Linked DNA regions of Diceros bicornis minor. The protein of the gene in region 2 purifies or fractionates together with the protein of the main gene of each other region. This does not show direct contact. Links are inferred from orthologs where the notes say so. Each region holds a gene or a part of one and is shown on either strand. Other genes may lie near its edges.

What was found. The genes of interacting proteins can lie anywhere in the genome.
Region 1: the proteins of PSMB2 (region 2) and POMP purify together in Homo sapiens (affinity purification with mass spectrometry; 5 studies listed by BioGRID and IntAct, counting the BioPlex papers as one, with this or other methods). This does not show direct contact. The link is inferred for Diceros bicornis minor from reciprocal best matches to the Homo sapiens genes PSMB2 and POMP.
Region 3: the proteins of PSMB2 (region 2) and PSME4 purify together in Homo sapiens (affinity purification with mass spectrometry; 3 studies listed by BioGRID and IntAct, counting the BioPlex papers as one, with this or other methods). This does not show direct contact. The link is inferred for Diceros bicornis minor from reciprocal best matches to the Homo sapiens genes PSMB2 and PSME4.

Annotation. Positions count from the first base shown.
Region 1 is NC_080748.1:11,860,859-11,868,149, reverse strand, and holds the start of POMP (proteasome maturation protein), read right to left. Parts: upstream 3,005-7,291; 5' UTR 2,933-3,004; coding exon 2,840-2,932; intron 9-2,839; coding exon 1-8. UniProt on the Homo sapiens protein: Molecular chaperone essential for the assembly of standard proteasomes and immunoproteasomes. Degraded after completion of proteasome maturation. Mediates the association of 20S preproteasome with the endoplasmic reticulum.
Region 2 is NC_080752.1:49,937,727-49,945,566, forward strand, and holds the start of PSMB2 (proteasome subunit beta type-2), read right to left. Parts: upstream 3,008-7,840; 5' UTR 2,921-3,007; coding exon 2,830-2,920; intron 1-2,829. UniProt on the Homo sapiens protein: Non-catalytic component of the 20S core proteasome complex involved in the proteolytic degradation of most intracellular proteins. This complex plays numerous essential roles within the cell by associating with different regulatory particles.
Region 3 is NC_080751.1:32,399,863-32,407,867, forward strand, and holds the start of PSME4 (proteasome activator complex subunit 4), read left to right. Parts: upstream 1-5,001; 5' UTR 5,002-5,003; coding exon 5,004-5,245; intron 5,246-8,003; exon of another isoform or gene 8,004-8,005. UniProt on the Homo sapiens protein: Associated component of the proteasome that specifically recognizes acetylated histones and promotes ATP- and ubiquitin-independent degradation of core histones during spermatogenesis and DNA damage response.

The DNA of each region.
Region 1 (7,291 bases), on a different chromosome or scaffold from region 2:
CTGGCATTCTAAAACACAAATAAAAAACTATTAAATACAAAAAATTTTTAAAATTCCACACTGAACACCTAGGTTAAAAACACTGCTTAGGCACTAGAGAGAAAAGATAAGGTCTCCGCCCTCAAAGAGCCCACAATCTAGACAATTAAGATGAGCCTTAAGCATTATGGTAGAGAGACATACATGGTACAGTGAATAATACTGAATTTGAGGATAAGAAGGATTCCTGAGTTGATCTTTGAATGATGTCAGATTGAAAGACATTCCAGGAAAAAAAGAACATGGGTAAAGCTATAAAAATATGAATGTACAAACCACAAGTAGTGTGAGGTGACTAGCTAAAAAGTTGTATAAGCGAGGCAGAAGTAAAGGCTGGCAAAATGAAAAGCCTTAAACACGCAAAGAAATTTGAGTTTTATTCTGAAACTGATAGAGAGTCTCTGAAAGGTTAGGGCATGATCAGATTTACTTTCATTGGAGAGATCCCTCCCTTAGGTTGGAATGATTAGCACAGAACGCAAGAAGTCGAGGACAGAATCCTGAGGAATACCATTCCTTAAGGACAAGGAAATGGGATCAAGAACGGACAGAATTGGGGCCAGCCCGGTGGTGCAAGCGGTTAAGTGTGCACGCTCCACTGTGGCGGCCCAGGGTTTGCCGGTTCGGATCCCGGGCGTGCACCAACACACTGCTTGGCAAGCCATGCTGTGGCGGCGTCCCATATAAAGTGGAGGAAGATGGGCACGGATGTTAGCCCAGGGCCAGTCTTCCTCAGCAAAAAGAGGAGGATTGGCAGATGTTAGCTCAAGGCCGATCTTCCTCACAAAAAAAGAAAAAAAAAGGGACAGAATTGCTAGAAGAGTGGTCACAGAAGCTAATAAAAAAAGGAGTTTCAGAAAGTATTTGGTTTCTATTACAGAACAGTACTACCTATGAAAAATAAATGTATCTAATCAGAATAATGAAAAACAAAAACAAAGACTCACAGTGCATTTGGTAGTGATGTATCATCACCCTATGTAATACTATAAAACACTCACCAAATATTTATTAAGCATCTATTATGTAGCAGGTACTCTGCTAGATGCTAAAGATACATGTTTACCCTGGGTTCCAGGGCTTAGTCTAATGAAGACAGATTAAACAAACAAATAAAATGTAATAAATGTTACAACAGGTAAAACACAAGATACTGCCTTTAAATCACTCACTGCTCATGTAAAGTATCCCTGCAATTCTGCAGAAAAACTGAAAACTGCTAAAGGTAGTTTGGTATTCAGTCTTACACTATTCTAGGAGAAACTATTCTGAGAAACCAACTTTTTTACTAATTTCTTAATTCATCTGTATACTTTATCTGGTCAGGTACTTGATATCCTGTGCAGGGTTTCTTCAATCTACCATTGCAGTCCAGGCTCCAACCTGGATAACCTCAAGCGCACTCTACTGGGTCTTGCTGCCTCTACACTCTTCCATTTTCCAGTTCTGCATATCAAGGTTTTCCTAAAACACACAACCTCTCCTACCAAAGCTGTTAAAACACCTTTCACTGATTCATCCATGTCTTGTCTGATTCATCCATGTCTTGTCTGAAGAACAAAGTCCAAGATCCTTAGCCTGGAACTCAAGAACCTGCAGAAGAGGTTTCAATTCTCCTACACAGAAGTCACAGTCAATCAGGAAAAGATCTGGAATCTAGTGTGGACTGTCACTAACCTACTATGTGACTGTAATCAAGGCAGACAACCTCTCTGACCCTGTTTACTCATCTGTACCAGGTACCTGAACTTTTTCCAGGACTAGAGCTGTACGACTGTACCTTTCCAAACATATGCCCTGTTACTTTCCTGTGTGAACATTCTCCTCCTCCCAGGTTGCTTTATTGTAAAATGACAAAAGAAAAGTTTCTTCTACACACAAAGAAAATGGGAATTCTGATCTCTGTGTTCTACCGTTATCATTTTCCCAATTTCCTTCTGTAAAATATCAGAATTAGTATTTATGTTTCTAATCAAGTAGCTGAGGAAAACCAATCTATGAAAAGTTAATTATCAGTAGTCACACTTGGGAGTGTTTACAAAATCTCTTTACAATGATCAGCAGTATTTACCAATAGAAGCTTTCTAGATTTGGATGGGCTAGCAGCAGTACTGGTACCAGAGTCAGGGCCAACGCGACTCAGGAATCCTTCCCAAATACCACTTTTAAGTTATAAAGAAAGAAAGAGAGAGAGGGAGGACAGAGGAGGAGATGCACTAACAATACTGACAAACGGGGAGTAGCAACTGTCTGATTTTTTTTTCCTCCTCCAACATCTGGCATACTACAAGCTCCCGAAAATGCTTGTCGAGTTATAAAAATGAGACTCCTGGTTGGGGGCTGGTTGTCAGGGCGGTTCCGAGGGCCAGGGGTGGGTGAGCGTTTTGAGAGCTCGGAACTCCCCGAGGTTCTCCCCGCAGGGAAGGGCAGCCGGCGGCGCACCACACAGAACGCGACACTTTCGGTTTTGTCCTTTGCAGATCCGCGCCAACGCCGGGGAAGGGACCGGGACCTACCGGGGAACTTGGGGACCGCAGGGCGCAAACCGAGAGAAAAGGGGGTGGTAGAAGACCATGAAAACGAAGCGCCGTTCGCGGGCCCTGCGCCGGAGCCCGGCCCGGGCGACAGCCACGAACTCCCCAACCCCGTGACTCGGCAGAACATGGCGCGCGAGGCCAGCCTCATCGCCCTGCCGCTGCCGCCGCCGCCGCCGGGGACGGGCTGGGAGGCGGCGGCCTGTTCCTGCAGGGCCACAGTCCCGAGCCCGCCGGGAACTCGGGTCGCCCGGGGTCTCACTCACCATCTTCAACACGCTCTGCGCGCAGCCTCTCAGCCCGGTTACCGTCAGCCGGCCCCGCCGCTCACTTCCGTTTCCGGGGCTGCCCCCCCACATCCGCCGGAAGTGCGTCCGTCCGGGCGAGGAAGGAAGTAGGGCGCGGGTCGACGTGAGGGAGCAGCGCGGGGCCGGGGCTCCCACGCCTGAAGTCCCGAGGGACCGGGGGCCAAGGGCGCAGTAAGGGTGTGGGCTGGGAGGAGGGCGGGGTGGGGACGAGATGTGCCGGAGGAGAGGGAAGACGCGCACCTCCGCTCTCTTAATAATAAACATCTCCCGTTCGTACAACAGTGGAAGATGTGCAACGTGCTCTGGAGATGCATCGCCTTATATAATACAAAACCTCCTTGAGGTAGATACTGCATTTTTCATAACGGGAAACGAGGCTTAGGTGAGATGAGTGATTTGCCTGCGGTCATTCAGCTAGTAAGGCAAACGAGGAACACAAGGCTTTTGCCAGTTTATTTTTTAAATCATTCGTGGAAGGACTGCTATGTTTAGGACCCTGTGATGAGGCTAAGAATTCAGAAAGGAATCGGGCTGGGGTGGTTCCTGGGCTAGAGGAGCCGGGGAAGTGGGTGTGGGACAACTAAGTAAATATGATAATTACTGATATGTAGTGGGCTCTTACTAGACAGCAAAACAATTCTAAATGCTTTACACGAATTATCTTTTTTAATCCTTTCAGTTATCTTATGAAGTAGATACTATTACCCCAATTTTACAGACAAGGAAACCAAAATATAAAAGAGGTTAAATAGATAAGGCCCAAGGACCCCTAATCATAGCGCTACAGTATTGCTTTCCAAATATAATGTGATAAAATGACCTTATGCTCTGTCACTATATAATGGAGATAACTTAAGGAATCCTTGGGCTGATAGCCAAGGGATGAGAGTGAACTAGTTTGAGGTAGGTGAGTATATGAAAGAACATTACTGGTAGTTTTGCTTGTGCAAAATCTCAGGTGAGAAAGAAGGCCTGTGTGGCCTAAGTTCAGGGTAATGTGAGATGAGGCTGTAAGTAGATGGAGGCAAGTTTATTATAGAGGCCCTTGTGCACCACACTAAAGATGAGGCTTTATCTTTAAAAAACCATTGAAGGATTTTAAGTAGGGAGGTGATAAGATCATATATGTTATGCATATCCACTGCCTTGCTGTTACAACCTTGAAGTTCTGCCCTGCTTCAGTCAAGTATTGTGCACTGCTGTCTTGATATGTCTTCTGGCTCTTCAGAAGATCCATATTTACCTTGAGATTTGAGCTTGAGTATTTCATTTGCATCTTTTTCCTTTCACTGAATTCCAGCTAAGGAAAAATTTTAGAACTGCTACTCTTTTTTTAAAAAATTGTTTTAATGTGTGTTGATTGCTCACAATTCAGTCATTAAATATTTGTTGAGCATTTGCTTGGTACTAGATTCTGGAGCTAAAGAGAAGAAAAAGCTGTTTTCCTATACTTGAGATGCTTTTATTTTCCTGGAGGAATAGACATATAAACAGATATTTAAAGTCCAGTGTTGTAGATGCTTAATCGAGAAAGGAGCTGGGTCAGGAAGTGGTTGGGAACAGGGAAAAATGGCATTTCAAGAAGAGGAAACGTGGAAAGGCAGGGATTTGCAAAAGGGCATGTTGTAATCTGAACAAGGAAGAACATTTCCATGTGGTTGGAGTTCTGGCTGAGTAGGTGGAACAAGATGAGATGAGATTGGAGGGGTGGGTTGGGGCCAGAATGAAGGGCCGTTGTATCGTGTGCTAAAGTTTGGGACTTTTTCTTGTAGGAAACAGGAGATAATGGAGGTCTTTTCACAGACAGTTGACATTAAAAAAAAAAATCATTCTGGCGGCAGCATGAGGGATACACTGGAATTGGGAGAAACTGGAACCAGGATACCATTTCGAGTGTTGCAGTAGTCCAAGGCAGAGATGATAAAGGTATAAATTAAGGTACTGCAGCATATTGGAAGGACTTTGAGAAGCAGTAAATAGTAGGCATGAACCTGAAAAATACTCGAATTCAAGAGGCGGCCAGGGGAAGGGGAGCCTTCCACGGAGGCAAAAAAGAAATGGTCAGAGAGGCAGAGAAAAACCAAACTGAAGTGCTATCTTAGAATCTAAAGGGCAAGAAAGTGTTGAGAGGTTGAGAAATAGCTTAAAGGAGAGGTTAGAAAGTAGTTTTAAAGTAGCTAAAAAAAGATAATGAAGTCCTGAAAATGGGCCTTTGGTGACCAATGCACCACCAAGGAGAAAAATTGCCTTATTTTGAGCAGTACACACATGAATATTTATATCCTTTTAAAGAGGTTTTGTGACAGTATTAACTAGTACAAAGCAGTGTTGAGTATGCTAAAATAGTTTAAAGAATTAAATTAGATTTGATACTAGAATGGTTTAATATGTTTGCTTAAGTTTTATCTGTGTTATATTGTTTGGAAGATAGAATATTAAGAAGAATAGCTAACATCTGCTATGTGTCAGGCCCTGTTCTCAGTTCTTTATATAAAGTTTTAGTTAATCTTCAGTTACTGTATGAAGTAGGTACTACTGTTATCCACATTTGACATAAGAAACATGCTTATTGTATGCATTATATGAGAACAAATACCTTATTTTACTTTACTTTTCATTGTCTTCCTTGAGTTTACTCTTAAGCCAGTCTGATGACTTATGTAGACCAATGAAGACAACTTCAGCATCATTGACAACATCTGGCAAGAATCCTCCTCTTGTGTTCTAGCTCTTTCCTCATTTGTTACCTTTGGCTGTCTCCTGTTTGCATCCCATTCCTGTACTTCATCTTGTCAACTAAATTTAGTTCTCCTGACTTAAACTGTGGTGCTCCCTAAAGACCTAGAATTACACTTACTCTTTGGCTCTTTTGCTCTTTGAGTTCAAGCTCTGGGCACCCAAACCCAACCACCAGCCTGCTGGGTTGGACCCCTCTTAAAGTCTGGTTTATGTGTGCAGCACAGTGCCTTGCATACTTTAAACAAGCACTAAGAAACGTGCAGGCCTTAAGAAAGGTCTTTACATCTAATATGTAGTGAATGTCTCTTTTTAGAACTTGGGAGAAGCTAGAAGAGGCATGGAGAAGAAAGGTAGGAAAGTGTCTCACTTAAGGAATGTCTCAGGAGCCAAAGAAGATCTGCCAAGATAAAGGAACGACCAATGATGTCAAGTATTGTGATTATAAGAAAATCAATGGAGTTTGGCAAATGGGTGTCATTTATATGATCTGGTGAGCAATTTAAGTAAAATGGTGGGAGCAGAAACCAAATTGCTAGCAATGGAAGAATCAGTAGTTAGAAAATGGAGGCATCCGAATTTTGTATTAATCTTTTCAGAATGTTTGCAGTCTCAAAAAAGGGAAACAGGAATTTGGTTTGAATGGAAATTGGGTTTTGTTTTTGTTTCATATGTATGGTTGGAGGGACTAAAGTTTGTTAGGCAGATATTAGAAAGAGTCAGTGAAGGTGCAAGGGTGAAGATACCAGGGAGAGAGAAGAATTGGTAAGGCATGATTGAAGTAATGACCTCTTAGATGTCCAGAGCAGGTGTGAGGGGAGATCAAGGGCAGAGAGAGAGAGTGGCTAGCCATGGAAGGAGTACGTTTCTGAAACAGGAGAAAAGATGGAAAACGTGGTGAAGAAAGAGAAGTCCCAAAGTGTGGAGGAGAAATGTGGGAACTGAAATCTGATCACCACTGTTAGTAGTGATGGGGTGAGTGGAGCTGGTGGTGACTTTAGAAGAGCAGAAAGTTGAAAAATCGACATGTAGAATGCACTAGCAAATCAGTAAGATGAATTAAAAAACTGCTCAGAATCATAAGGACATGAGTGAGTGTGAGTAACATCAATTTGTAATAGGCTCGATCAACACGCTTGCACTATTTTCTGCAACAGTTCTCAGCAACACAGGGTAGAGAAGGGGATTCACAAAGTAGACCTCATGAAGAGTAAGTAGGGCAGAGATTCTAGGTGACCATATGGTACAAGGGGGTCAGAAAGGCAGAGGAAGTGATTAGAAAGGAGTACAATGACACTCCTCTCCTTTGTGCTCCAGTAGCACCTGCCTTCTAGTCTTACAGCTTGCTTATTTCTCTGGACTGCACGCTCCCTGAGGGTGGGGACTGTGATCTGTGTACCTGTGAATACCCACCCTCTGGCACAAATATTTATTGAATGCATGTTGGGGAACTTAGAAGAAACTCCCATCCAGAGTACTGGCTGGTGCTGAAACATGACTGGGAAGCAGGTGAATGAATACTGCCAGGCAATACCTGAGGTTGGTTATTGGGAGATGTAAAAGCATGCTGAGTTGAATTCTCATGCCTCCAAAAGTAGAGAAAAGGTAGTGTGAAGCAGATGGCATGCACTTCAAAGAAGAGGTGGTTGAGTGATCATGTTAACGATCAAACAG
Region 2 (7,840 bases):
TGAAATCATTAATTTAAAACTAACCTAGGGGGCCGGCCCCGTGGCGTAGTGGTTAAGCGGCGTGCTCCACTGCTGGGGGCCCGGGTTCGGATCCTGGGCGCGCACAGATGCACCACTTGTCAGGCCATGCTGTGGTGGCGTCCCACATAAAGTGGAGGAAGATGGGCACGGATGTTAGCTCAGGGCCAGTCTTCCTCAGCAAAAAGAGGAGGATTGGCATGGATGTTAGCTCAGGGCTGATCTTCCTCACAAAAATAAATAAATAAATAAAAATAAATAAAAACTAAAACTAACCTAGTACTTACTAGTGATACTTCTTTTATCATACAAAACCATCTTGTCGTATTTATTTGTTTTCTTAATGTCTTAGACCTTTCTATGGATTATATCTAATACGTTGCATCCTCTATAACAGCTAGAAGTACATTCTACTCTTCGAAGTGATTTCAGATACATTATTGTGATGACACAGAACACCTGTAGAGATACTGACTTGGTTATTGCTCTACCTAGATACTACTTCATGCTCAAATCACTTCCATGTCAAAGGCTTTAGTATTCAAAATAATGGACAGATTTACTCTCAAAACAAATTTACTCCTTTGGAAAGCATGGTTTACAAATAGAACTCCTACAAACTAATCATGGAATTTCATAAAGTAATTTGACTTGAAGAACAATCCACATCATAGATGTTTAACAAACCACTTTTAGGTCTCTCTTTCTTCTTCATAATTTTATTTATTTATTTATTTTTTCCCCCAAAGCCCCAGTAGATAGTTGTATGTCATAGCTGCACGTCCTTCTAGTTGCTGTATGTGGGACGCAGTCTCAGCATGGCCGGAGAAGGGGTGCGTCGGTGCACGCCCGGATCCGAACCCGGGCCGCCAGCAGCGGAGCGCGTGCACTTAACCGCTAAGCCACAGGGCCGGCCCTCTCTTTCTTCTTCAGAAAGAAGAGAACTCAAGCAAAGTCCCTCAATTCTTCCCATCTTCCCAAGTGATGACAGCCTGACCATCAGACGCCTGTCCCTTACACAGGCAGTGGTGGATACTTTTTTGCCTTTGTTCACATACTTCAGGAAATCCCAGATTTGATCATTTTTCTTTTCCTTAAACCCAAAATGAACTGTTATCTGCCCTGTAAACTTCCCCTAATCTCTACAACTAGAAAGAATCTCTTCGTCTGGATTGCCTAAAAACAATCTCTGCTTCCTGTGCATTATCTGATAAATTTCATTGTACTTTTCACATGCAGCATCATTTTCCAGCTTGTGTTATAAGTATTTGTACACGAGTCCCTTATTAAATTGTAACTTCTTTTAAGATACGAGCCACATCTTATTCTTCTTTGCATCCCTTCTGCACCTAGCACAGAAGTGCCCAAAACCTATTTGTCAAGTGAACACGAAATCATCTGAGCCAAAGCATAATACTTTTTCAACAGCAGCATGTCTACCACCAATTATGAAAACACAATCTTAGATTCTGCAGATCAACAAGCAAAATCTTTTTAAAATTATTTGGGGCCAGCCCAGTGGCAGAGCAGTTAAGTTCACGTGCTCAGGTTTGGCAGCTCGGGGTTCGCAGGTTTGGATCCTGGGCGCGGACCAACGCACCGCTTGTCGAGCCGTGCTGTGGCGGCATCCCATGTAAAGTAGAGGAAGATGGGCACGGATGTTAGCCCAGGGCCGGTCTTCCTCAGCAAAAAGAGGAGGGTTGGCAATGGATGTTAGCTCAGGGCTAATCCTCCTCACAAAAAGAAATTTAAAAAGATTATTTATTGAGAACTGACTATAGGGAGACAGTACAGTATAGTCGTTATGGGCAAAAGATACGTAGTCAAATTGCATAGGTTCAAAGAACCTGGATTCTGCCACTTGGCGCCTTAAGCAAGTTCCTTAACCTCTACACCTCAGAACTATCACCTGTAAAGTAGCAATGTAATAGCGCCTATCTCAAAAGGTTAAATGAATTAATGTAAATCGCTTAAAATAGCACCTGTACTTAGTATTTCTATTACTTAGAAATTCACTTAGAATTTAGTATTAGTATTTCTACTTAGTATTTATTAGTATTAGTACTTAGTATTTCTACTACTTAGTACTTACTAAGTACTTCTATTTAAGTAGTTGGTATTTCTACTACTAAGTATTTGTCACTGTGCTAAGCATTTGCACAAAACTTTTTCTCTCAAACCTCCCAACAAGCTTGGGAGGCTGGTATTACTAACCCGATTTAACAGATGAGGAAATCTGGGAACTGCGAAATAACTTGTACAAAGTCACAAAGCAAGTAAGTGACAGGGCTCCAGTCCCCTAACTCCACTAACTACTTAAATATAAGGAAAACTTGCCAACCAGTGCCCTGGAAAAGGAGAATCAGAGCTGAGACTCGGGAAGACACAGGCAGCACAAGGGAAATGCCAGGTTTCTAGTCCCACAGTCTCATTCTCCCCAGGCTCCCACCTTATGCCGCCAGCAAACTAATCTCAGTAGTAGCGACCACAGGAAACTTATCAGCGATTTGCGAGTCTCTAGGGAGCCTGGAGCCCGGCAGGCGCTTAAACACTTGAAAACTGAATTCCTTAGGCAACTCTCGCCCAGCAAGCATTTGGCGAAGGCCAGAGCACAGCACTGACCCAGGAACCCTGGGGGAAGTGAATGTCTAGCCCTACGCTTGTCTGCCTGTCTCCTAGTTCCAAAAAACAAGCAAGTGCTGATCAGGGCAGACGGGCTTCCACCTCCCTGGTACTCACCCAACACCCCACGAACTCCCTCCGACTGCCCCTACACCCAGGCCCGGCAGGGCCTCCCCTACTTCCTCTCACCGTCCTTCATCTGGACAATATTGCTAGCGGCCACCCGGTCGGAGGCGACAAGGACATAGTCGGGGCCCTGGATGCCGATGAGGTACTCCATGGTGGCAGGAAGCCGGCGGCTGCAGCTTCGACAGAGCGTGAGATTCGCCGGCTCCTCGGCCTCACCAGTGAGACAGCACCACCGAGCGAGGCGTCGCGCAATGCAGGCCGCGCGACGGCCCGGGCCACCGGCGCTCTCGGATGACGTAAACCGTCGCGAGACGTTGGAAAGTGGGCGTGGCGTTGGGTGTATTACACTCTGTGCTCGCCTGTTGGCCTGTCCTAGATTTTTTGCAATCCCGGGTGTAAAGGCGGCTGATGTTATGTAGCGCCCAGTTTCTTTATTTATAAATTGAGAGCTTAAAACTCGCTTGAGGATGAAATTACGCACTATATATGAAGTGCCGAGCCCACGCGGGTGCCAAAAAGGCGTGCATGCCTTGATGGCCGTTTCCCTTCGTTGCTCTGTAAAATATCGCCATAAACTCCTTCTCTGCAAGCCAGATTAGAAAGAGAAAAATAAACTTTAAAAATAAACTTAAAAAAAAAAAAAGACAGGAGCCCTATTTACATGTTTCACAAAAATAGAGATCTAAGCATAAAGACTAAAATCATAAAAGACCTATTTACAGATGTTCCGACCTCAAATTATATGCAGTTGTTACCTTTGGTAAAAATGATTTGAAGGGAGGACTCACTTTTTATTTTATATGCATCTGTATTGTTTGAATGTTTCGCAATGCTCATGTATTACACATTTTTTTAAATAGGAAAAAGCACAACCATCCCTTTATATCCTGCATCCATTCTGGGAAAAACTGAAATATTCCATGATTGGTTTCTGTCATCCACGATTGAATCTTCATACTAGCCATTCTAGCTTCCTCAGAAACAGAAAACCAGATGCAGTTGTATCTCCAAGCACAACTATTCAATTCACTTGCTTTTGCAGAAATGCATAGTCCTTACTCTGTTCTGAATGTTTCTTCCAGCTCTCTGTCCATAAAGGAACATAGAGCCTGAGGAGTTTGGGGCAGCTCATTTATCTTGGGAGGGATGCCAGGAGCAAGTGAGGTCATTAAGTCAACCATCCCAGTATGAACACAGATGCATCCATCATCCTAGAAAGATCCTTTTCTTAAACACCACTGGGGAAGAAGTCCCTTAAGTCTCTCTCTCTCCCTCCCACTCTCCCTCTCTCTCCCTCTCTTGCATTGTATGTGTTTGTGTGTTTTTTAAGTGCAAAAAATACATAGTTATACTATACACACACACACAAATAATACAGAAGAACTGAAGAGTTAAATCTCTCTCCTGCTCCCACCAGAGGTAACCTACCCACCAGATGCCTGTATTCTTCCAGACCTTTTTTCCTTTGGACATACCAATATTCATTCATTCATTCACAAAGGCTGCAGAATTCTGAATTGGGAAATCCAATTTAAAAAAAGGACTGTCCCAGGGGCTGGCCTGGTGGCATAGCAGTTAAGTACGCACGCTCCCCTTTGGAGGCCCGGGGTCCACAGGTTCAGATCCCGGGCCCCCATGGATGCACCGCTTGTCAAGCCATGCTGTGGCGGCGTCCCATATAAAGTAGAGGAAGATGGGCATGCATGTTAGCCCAGGGCCAATCTTCCCCAGAAAAAAGAGAAGGATTGGCATCAGATGTTGGCTCAGGGCTAATCTTCCTCACACACACACACACAAAAAGGACCACCCCCCACCGTACCCCCCCCCCCGACACACACAAAAGGACCCAAGGATCTTTCAAGCTGGCTCTTCCCTCTTCCTCCCCAGGACTCTTTTGAAATCCCCTGTAGCTGTCACACTCGAGATGCTCTAACTTCTTGTTAGTGTAGAAGAAAGTGGATTTTCAAGACCTAACCTGTTCTATCTCACTGAGAATAGAGGGACTCCCTCCTCCAACTAAAGTCTTAGAATAACTGAGTCTTAGAATTAGAAAAAATGTCTGTGGAGGTTCCAGAAACAGCATGGTATAGCCAACTTGCTCTGTAAAGGGCAAGATAGTAAATATTTTTGGCTTTGCGGGCCAAACGGTATCCATCACAACTACTCAACAATGCCATTGCAGTACAAAAGCAGCCATAGCCAATACTAAATGAGTGAACATGGCTATATTCCAATAAAACTTTATTTACAAGACCGGGGAGGGGAGGGGGGAGGTGGATTTGGCTCATTTGGCCATAGTTTGCAGATCCCTGATGTAGTGGGAGGCCTGTAAATCAACACTTAACTCTGGTCCCAGCCCTACGTTTTCCAACCTTGGTGCAAAATTCATTGAGCTTCAATTTCCTTATTTATAAAAGGGACATTCAAAAGGGAAATTTGCTTTGTATCTCTCTTGAGATGGAAAGGAGTTGCAGGTTTGGTTGTTTCCATGAGTATAAGGACCCATACCCTGCTCCTTCATGGGGAGTTTGGTAGGACCTTAAAGAAGAATGACTGCAGTGTGCCTAGGAAACATGGCCATAATATGGGAGGCTACCAGCCTTTCCAAGACTCCCAAGCCCAAGCTTGACATGGAAGCATCAGCACAAGCCCACACTCAAAAAAATCCTGTGAGCTTAGACAATAGGGTCGAGATAATGGTAGACTGGATATCAGTGGGCCACCTCTAAATATTCAGAAATGTTAATGCATTGGATACTATTGATGCCCTGCCCATATCCCCTTTACCTAACTGTGGTAGCTGCTATCCCCAGCTGCTGTAAATGTTGGTTGATAACAAGTGACAACTATCCCTTTATTCAGACAATTTCTTTCAACCATCTGGGAGGCATCCTTGCCTGGGAGGCTATGCACAGTCAGCCAATGACTGACTGACACAGGGCTAAAAGATCAATTTCCTTAATTTATAGTGGGATAAAACTTGTCCTCCCAAGTTTCCCCGTGGATCAGTCTAAAGCGAGTCTCCAGCGAAGACCACATTCTTGCTTAGCTTTCTCCCCCTACCTGATCTTCTTTTTTTTTTTTGCTGAGGAAGATCAGCCCTGAGCTAACATCCATGCCAATCTTCCTCTTTTTGCTGAGGAAGACTGGCCCTGGGCTAACATCTGTGCCTATATTCCTCCACACTTTATATGGGACACCGCCACAGCATGGCCTGACAAGCAGTGCATCGGTGCGCACCCGGGATCCGAACCCCGGCCACCAGCAGTGGAGCATGCACACTTAACCGCTACACCACGGAGGCCGGCCCGGATCTTACTTCTGTTACTCCCTTTCTCCTGAGAGTACTCCCCCAATAAATGACTTGAATAATCATTTTGGTTTGCTTCTAGGAAACCAAACTAAAATATTTGGTACCAGGGGCCGGCCCCGTGGCATAGCAGCTAAGTGTGCATGCTCTGCTGCTGGTGGCCCAGGTTCGGATCCCGGGTGCGCACAGATGCACCGCTTGTCAAGCCATGCTAGGGTGGCATCCCACATAAAGTGGAGGAAGATGGGCACAGATGTTAGCCCAGGGCCAGTCTTCCTCAGCAAAAAGCGGAAGATTGGCACGGATGTTAGCTCAGGGCTGATCTTCCTCACAGGCAAAAAATAAATAAATAAAAAAGTAAAATATTTGGTACCAAAAGTGATCCCAGAAAGCAGTCTCCAAGGGATTCTGGAGTGGGATCACTCACCAGCTGGATGACAATGAGGACGCCAACACTGGTGGTAGAAGGAATAGTCACAGCCTCAGAGCTTATAACAGTGCAATTGCTTAGACTTTCCCCTGTGTTGAACTAGGATGGGCTACATCAAAGACATTTTCAGTCACAGACAAGCTGAAAAAATTCATCACTAGAAGACCTACACTACAAGAAATATTAAAGGATCTCCTTCAAGTGGAAAGGAAATTGTACCAGATGAAATCTTCAATCTACACAAAGGAATGAAGAGCTCTGGAAATGGTAACTATGTGGACAAAAAAAAAGGCTTTGATTCTTATGATTCAAATGTCTTTAAGAGATCATTGACTGTTTAAAGAAAAAATAATAAAAATGTGTCATGGGGTTTATAGCATATTAGAAGTAAAATGTAGGGCAACAAAAGCACAAAGCCACGAGGGGAGAAATTGGAAGATACTGCTGTAAAAGTTCTTATATTATATGCAAGGTAGTATAATATTGCTCGAAATTAGACAATGATAAGTAAAAGATTTAAGTAATAAACCCCAAACAAACACTAAAATAACACACGGTTATAGTTAATAAGCCAACAAAGGACATAAAATGGAATAAAATACTCAATCTAGGGCTGGCCCCGTGGCTTAGTGGTTAAGTGCGCGGCTCCGCTGCTGGCAGCCTGGGTTCAGATCCCCGGCGCGCACCGACGCGCCGCATCTCCGGCCATGCTGAGGCCGCGTCCCACCTACAGCAACTAGAAGGCTGTGCAACTATGATGTACGAATATCTACTGGGGCTTTGGGGGGAACAAATAAATAAATAAAATCTTTAAAAAAAATACTCAATCTAAAAGGAGACAAAAAGAAGAAGAAAAAGGGAAGAAAAAAACATACGGAGGGGGCCGGCCAGTGGCTTAGTGGTTAAGTTTGCATGCTCTGCTTCAGCAGCCCGGGGTTCGGTTCCCAGGCGCGGACATGTGCACTGCTTATCAAGCCATGCTGTGGCAGGCGTCCCACATGCAAAAGTAGACGATAGACGAAGATGGGCACAGATGCTAGCCCAGGGCCAATCTTCCTTAGCAAAAAGAGGAGGATTGGCAACAGATGTTAGCTCAGGGCTAATCTTCCTCACCAAAAAAAAAAAAAACACCAAAAACTATACAGGACAAATAGAAAAATAGCCATATGGTAGATTTAAATACAATGATACCAATTATCACATAAATGTAAATGATCCAGATACTCCAATTGAAATCCAGAAATTGTCAGATTAAATAAAAAAGCAAGACCCAACTATATGCTGTATACAAGATACCCACTTTAAATGTAAAGACTCAAAAGACTTGTACA
Region 3 (8,005 bases), on a different chromosome or scaffold from region 2:
TAACAGAGAAAAATTGTATAAAAATCAAAGAAAAATTCATTCCTTTAGCTGTGATTTCCTTCTTATTAAAAATTGAACTTCAAATACACTCCAGTTCAAATGAAGTGAATGGATCTTATGGCTGGATGAGAAGAGAAGGGTTTCTGGATGAAAAATTCAAAACTTAAAAATCGCATAGGAGGAGGGCCGGCCCGTGGCTTGGCGGTTAAGTGCGCACGCTCTGCTGCTGGCAGCCCGGCTTCGGATCCCGGGCGCGCACCGACGCACCGCTTCTCTGGCCATGCTGAGGCCGCGTCCCACACACAGCAACCAGAAGGATGTGCAACTATGACATACAGCTATCTACTGGGGCTTTGGGGAAAAAATAAATAAATAAAATTACTAAAAAAAAAAAAAATCATACAGGAACTAGAAAAAAATCCTCATTTCTCAGACCCAATAATCTTGTGCCTTTAATAACTGTAACAGAGGGTGTCTGGATATTTGATTATATTAGAATGAGTATTCTAACTAATTTAAAAACTTTTAAAGATTATGCTCTGGCAACAGAGATTCATCCACTTACAAATAATATCCCCAGCTCCAAACATATCATATATAGAAAGAAACTAAGGCAGGGGAAGGCATGAAACTAATAACTGTCATTTTTGTTCACTGTTAATAAGTGGATTATCAAGTAGTGGGCCAATAAGTATATTAAAGACATAAATATTTGATTGATAATTATCCCTGCCAATTCCTCCAGCTTAAGGAGAATCCTCTTTCTTAGCCCTTCCACGAAGGGCTATTGCATTTTCTGGGTCTTCCAAGAAGGGCAATTACAGTCTGCTTCCTAGAGGGGTCTGATAAACCAATGTCTCCCTCAGGGTATGACTGAAAGGATAATGGGCTGTTATCTTTTGGCAGCTCTAAGAGATAAAAAATGCTTGGGAGTTGGTCTGAGGAGAAAACTGACCTCAGACTTTGGGTTACTGTCTTCAATGATGAGTAGACTACGGCACTCAGAGAAACTTAAGGTCTCCCAACTTTCTCACCTGAAGGGGTTTCAATAGTGTTTTCTATTAAACTTCATATAGAATAACAGAAACAAACTTCATGTCTTTTGCTTAATAATTCTTTTGACATTTCCGGTCCAGACATCCACTCCCAGGAGAGTTGACATCACCTGGAACTGCTTCTTTGAAATCTGAATCCAAACATTCCTGTTCTTCCAGGTCCCTTGCTCAGGCTAATCCTTTCATATTGTCCTTGTACTTAACAGGATCTGAGTCTCTTAACCCTTCTACTCTGCTTATCAGCCCTCTTTTCTCTTCACTTAGACTTCAACTAACTTAGTTGTTAACTACTTTCTTTCAAATACTCTCAAGTCAATTATCTCTATTTAGAGAAGAGAATTCAATGAGATAATGTAGGTAAAGCAGCGGCAGAGAGAAGTGCTCAGCAAATGGTAGCCAACACCGCTTCTATCACTACCAATAACATACATAACATTCTCTTGTTCCTTTGTCATTCTATCATACCAGCCTGTATGTCATACAATCCTCGGCTGCTAATTATTGAAGAAAATCACTAAATTGCCCACGGACGACAGTAAATTCATGCTTCCAGCCTTAACTGCCAAGCAATTTCTACTGTTTCTCTCATCAGTCTTCTGAAATTTGAGACTACTCTAAAACTTCTCCAATCTCCTTAAATCTCCTACCCATCTCTTCCTCCCTTCATTCTCATTCTCTTGCTTCACAGAAAAAAAAGAAACCGTCAGAAAGAACTTCTCCAACTTCCAGCCACTAAATCCTCCAACCTTTCTTCAATTGCACCTATCCTCCCCTGCTTCCCTCCTCTGACAATGGAAGCACAGTCTGGTTTACTGCTAAGGGCCAATGACTCCACATTCCCTCCCACTCACTGTCATCCTCACCCACATTATCTTTAATCTCTCTCTTCATTGGCTCCTTCTCATCAATATTTAAACATATTTAAATATATCCCACCTTCAAAAGTTCTTTTTATGCCAGCTACCTCATCTCTCTTGTGTTCCTCCCACTCAAACTTTTAAAAAAGGTTGTCCACATTAGCTGCCTCTATTTATTTACTTCCCATTCATCCTTTGTCATTGTAATCTGGTTTCCATTACCACACTCCACTGAAACTGTTCTTATCTGCTTTATCAATAACTCCAATAACTCCTTCTCAAGTTTCCTTTCATTTGACCTGTCAGCCACCTTTGGTACATTGATCACTTTCTCCATGTGAAACACTGTTTTTAGGAATGCTCCCTTTCCTAGAACTCCTCCTACCTTTCTGACTGCTTCTTGTGAGTATCCTTTGGGGTCTCGCTCCTCTTTCTCTGTCCATCCTTAAATATACAGTTCCTCAGAGTGTGGTCAAGGACCCTGTTCTTTTCATACTGTGAAATTAATTAAACAAGAAGGCCATTAGACTGAGATGGCTCTAATGCCTTGGCAGTCTACGTAAACAAACCAAAATCTAAGCCTATGAATGCCTCAAGATTACAAAATCTAAATGCTAAGAACAACAAATCACAAATACCAACTGGCTTTAAGCTATAGCCAATCAAATACAGTCATGTGCATGACACGACCTTAGAGTCAACGAGAGACTGCATATTTGACAGTGGTCCCATAAGACTATGCTGACCGACAAAAAATCACTACTGTTTAAACAGCAGATATTTATTTGAGCAATTAGAATTGCAATTAGGGAGGCACAGATTCAGGTAGAAACCCAAAACGTGTTCTGATTACAGGAGAGGGTCTTAAGGTTTTTATGGGAAAAAGGGAGGATGAGGTGAGCTGTTTTAAAGAAGAGTTCATTGGTGCTAGACGAGGTAAGGCTAAGTTTGTACTTCATTGATTCGCTTAAGATTTGGTCATCAGGCAAAAGGCTAAAACTTGTACTTCACTGATTGGTTAGCAATTCGGTCACCAGCAAAGTCCAGTTTTATCAGTCCTTACAAACAGTATATTCTTGTCCTTACTGATTTCTTGGATTGTCGGTGGTTTGGTCCAGTTTGGAAGATAAAGAAAATAAGACGTGCAAGGAAATTCCTCTGAAACAGCTACTCTGGATCTATTTTAATATGGCTCCACTCATGTCATCCTCCACAATTAGTACCATATAGCCTAGTGTGTAGTAGGCTATACCATTAGGTTTGTATACATACATTCTGCGATGTTCACACAATGATGAAATGACCTAACGACGCATTTCTCAGAATGTATCCCCGTCATTAAGCAACACGAGTATAATTTCCTTTCCTGGCTGCCACATCTCCTCTAGCATATGCCCTTCCCCTGGCTCCTGTTGGCACTCTTAACTGCATCTGGTTTGGCCCTGCCCAATTCCAATCGACTTCTGCTCAAACACTCTTAAAATTTTTAATATGCCTCAGTTTATCTTCTAGCAATACTCTATATATCTCATTCCCTCCAATCCACCAATACGCTAATCTATATCCCAGTTTAGATCACCCCCTTGATCCATACATCAAAATACTTACGCATCCATTACGCATTCTGTCTCCAAAGCTGTTTCTGCCATGTTCTCTCAGTGAAGGGCTTCACTACCTAACGGGCTTTCCAAACCAGAAATCTGACATCATCCCGTTTCTTCTCTCTCTCTCTCACTCTTTATATACAATCAACTTCCAAGCCTAGGCCATTGTACTTGCTGAAGTAGCTCTCAAATCATTTCAGCTGACATCCAGGCCATCATTATGTCATATTTCTTAAGGGGTCCTTTAGGTACCAATCTTGTCTGTTCTAATCCACTCTCCATACAAAGCCAGAGTGATTTTTCAAAAATGTAAATTGCATGGTGCCACTCCTATGCTCAACATCTTTCAATTTCTTGTTGCCTTTAGCATAAAGCTTTAAAAACTCCCTAGCATTTCCTTCTCAGTCTCAATTTTCCACTCCCCTTTTGCAAGCAATCTTCAGCCATTCTGAACTTCTCTGAATTCCTAGACGGCACGCTTGCAGCCTCTGAGCTGTTCCCTCAGCTGAAATACACCGTCTCTTCCCTTCTTTTTCTAACCAACCCTTAAGCTCAACTATCTGTATCACTTTCAGGAAACTTCCTGACCCCCCTCCAGTTTGAACTCCGCTTTAGGTGTTCCCAAGGCATCATGTACTTAACTAGCAATTAAGAGTATTGTCTTGTAATTACTTATTCCCTAGTCTACAGCTCCGCTTGACTTTAAGTCCCTGGAGGACAGAAACCAGGTGCTCTTAAACTTTCCATCTCAAGTACCTAAAAGTAGCGGCTGACACACAAAATAGTAGTTCAATTAATATTTGTTGAACGAATAACTATTCCTTTTTGGAAAGAGGGCGGTCAGGAGAATACCAGAAAGACGAGGGCTCAAAGCGGACAGAGTAAAAAAATCTATACGTAACGAATGGCATGGATACAGAGTACCTAGGTTATCCCACAAACTCGGCCTGCGGGGTCTAGGCCCACTGCCTCGCCCCAGGCCACGGCGACTACGGGCCCTGGAGAGCAGGCGCAGGGGTCACACGACCCCAGGTAAGGAAGGACAATCGCTTGGAATTCGGCCTCGTGCTTCCGGTGGGGCAGCATCGCGCCTGGCCGGTGAGGCCCGCGGGTTGGGGCTCCGAGCCTGCCCCACGGCGAGGAAGGCGCGGCCCCCGGAGCTCCCGTCGTCGCCGCCGCCTCCTCCGACGCCGTCGCCCCGCCCCGGAAGTGACTTGAGGCCCGTCCGGAACCTCGGGCCCGGCGGCTGCAGCGTCACCAGCGGAGCCGGTGCGGGGCGGGCGGAGCGGCCGCTGCCGCAGCCAACGAACCAGGCACCGCGCGGGGCCAGCAGCGCGCCGGCCAGGGGAGGGGATCCGGCGGTCGGGCCGAGGACGACGGGCCGCCGGCGGCCGCGGGGCGACGACGACGCGGAGGAGGCGGAGCCCGGAGAGGGGTGGGGGCCGGGGAGGGCTAGGGTGGGAGGGTGGGGGGGTGTCCCTGGGCTCATGGAGCCGGCCGAGCGGGCAGGCGGCCGGGATCCCCCGGAGCCGGGCGGGCGTCCCGGGCCGGAGCCGCGGGGCTTCGTCCCGCAGAAGGAGATCGTCTACAACAAGCTGCTGCCCTACGCCGAGCGGCTGGACGCCGAGTCCGACTTGCAGCTGGCCCAGATCAAATGCAACCTGGGCCGGGCCGTGCAGCTCCAAGAGCTGTGGCCCGGGGGCCTCTTCTGGACCAGGAAACTCTCCACGTAAGTGTGCCCGGGCCTCAGGATGGGCCCGGGGCAGAGGCTCACAGGAGGACGTCGGGGGTGGGGGACGGCTCTTTGTCCCACTGGACCGCAGGACCCTTACCTCTGCCCCGGCTCGAGCCGGTGGTCCCCGTGCAGTCGTCTCAGGGTCACGGCAGAAGCCTTGGAAGCACTTAGACCTCCTCCCTGCCACTTTCCTACGGAACCTCCCCGGTCCTCACCAGCCCTCAGTGTCCTCCCCTGCTTTTTCTCCCCAAGGATTCAGGTTGTTTTCCGACCTGCGGGGCCCCCAGGGAAAGAGATGAGCGGTCCCCCAAGGGGGCTCCTTGGACCTTTGCCCGTGGGGGAGGGGAGGCACAGAGGATTCGTCTTTGAGGGGAGCAACTCTTGACTTCTGGTGCTTCCTCCGGTTCTTTCCTCCCCTACGGTCCCCGCCTCTTCCTATCCCTCAATTGGCCTCTGGTAACTTTCTGAATGGGAAAGAGGCCGTCGGGAACTTCTAGGTTCTGCTTTTTTGGGGCCTGCTCAGTCTTTGTGGATTTGATTGAAAAGATTGATTTAAGATCCGACTTCAGCGCATTCTTGGACTGTTCACTAGACGTTAATGTTGAGAATGTTGAGTTTTAGAACCTCGGCAAAATGTATATTGCTCCTGTTGTGACATTTCGTTTGGAAACGTACAGCGTTAAGGAAAAGAGGAGAGCTGTCAGGTTGTCCTGGGTGTTATTTGTATCGGGCTTGTGTTAATTTTTGAGTCGCTCAGATAAATATAGATTACGTAAATCAGTTTCAAGGATTCTATTCTTTTTTTATTACTTTTTTTTTGTATAAACTAGCTGCAAACTGTAGTGCCACTGAAATTAGGGGGAAAGGGCGAGTAAAAATACAGCTGGGTGGGAGGGAAGATTTTAGAGACTTTTTGCTAGGTGGGAATCTTCATTGTGTCAGAAGAACTTTTTTAAAAAAAGATTTTGTTGTATCTTGTATGGTTAACTGTACATAAAATCTGGTAACATTGTATGTTCATGCATGTGGGTATGGGTGGGTGAACACGTAAGACATAAGTCACTTATCCAGTGTTTACCCAAATCTGCTGAGTGAACTGGGTGATGACTCAGGGTTTTGTAACGCAATAGTCTTCTCCACATTTCCTCACAGGATGATTCTTATCTGCCGTTTATGAAGGAGTCTCTGACAGGTTTCTCATCTCCATTTGGTGGTGGTGGTGGGAATAATAATTGCTTTTTAATTAATAAAGCAGAACTCAAACACGTAATTTGCCCTTTTCAAAGAGTGACCATAAAATGTCAAGGTTAATGGCCCTCTTGATTTGAATGTATAGAAGTTTGTGGTGTTGGGATCCATAGGAGACTTGGGAAGAAAAGAAATGCAACAGGGATAAGAACCACTTTTAGTCAAAACAGAAAAATGTTTTATAAATGATTAAAATTCAAATGATTTTTTAAGTGAGCCTCCTAGGTGTGTTTGTGTTACTCGGGCACAGTAAAAATAAAGTTACTTTGTCATTCCAGTAATTCCCCATTTTTATCACCTGGATTCGACTTGCTAGAGAATAACCATTTGCGGGGGGACATAAGCAGTTCCTTTTAGATGCACAGTGTATAAATGTACCAGTGTGTGAATGCATATCTAGATTGGATTTAGGAATCTAGAGTCTACACAGGTATAGGTAAGCATTGTTTTCTGACATATTTATTGTTACTTACTAAGTTTCGCGGAGTAGCACCTAGAGTTTTATTATTTTTGGTTTATTATGTATAAGTAGTTTTTACCTAGAAAGGGCTAAAAATACAGTGGCGACGGTCTGTGGTGTTTAGGGCAAGACTGCAGTTATGTGGCTTAATAATCTAGGAATCCCAAACCATTTATATCTAAATAACCAGCAAGAAATGCTGTGAGATAGAATTTTATTTTGGAACAGTGGTTAAATGCTGCAGACTGATTCTTGGGATTGCGCTATGAGACATTTTGAACTTGGTGGGACATGTTGTGATCTTGGATGTATTTTTTCTCCTAAGTCATGTTAAGGTGACCTGTTTATAGATGTGCTTGTTTTTTAAGCCTTGTGTGTGGTTGCACAAGTTTACATCTAAATGATGCCAAAACATGTGATGATAGCTTTCAGTTACCTGAGTAGTGATCATATTGAGTACTTTGTAGAAGAATGGAAAGTAGTAATGAAAATCTAATTGCTGCCACTAGCTCTGTGACTGTGGGAAAGTTACTTTAATCGTGTATTTCAGAATTCTTGTGGGTGAAACGATGGGGTTGGATTAAGTAATTCTTGAGAAACATTCCTGCTCTGATATTTTATGATTTTATTTTTTATCTTGTAGAGCCTCAAGCCAGTGTGTGTCTTTCTACAAGGATTGTTTGAGGACTTTGTAAAGTATTGGAAATTGTTGCATAAATCAAATACATTCCTAAAGAAGACCAGAGTGTAGATGCTATTTAGAGGCACTGGGACTGGATCCCCTAATCTGGGTGTCATGGGTCTGTGTATCGTCAAGTTCTAGTTTGGGAGGTACTCAGACGCCCCTTTTTTGAGTTTTACGTAATTTTAGTAGTTATTGTAATTCTGTTTCAATCCATTTCAAGACTTGCAGGTGTGTTTAGCATTTCTGTGAAGAAAGGTTAGTTCTTTGAATTTTAAAAATTGGCCTTGTGGTGTAATACAAGCTCTTTTGTACAGACAGTTTAAAGTATTAGGACTGCCTGTTCAAGAGAGATTGTGTGATG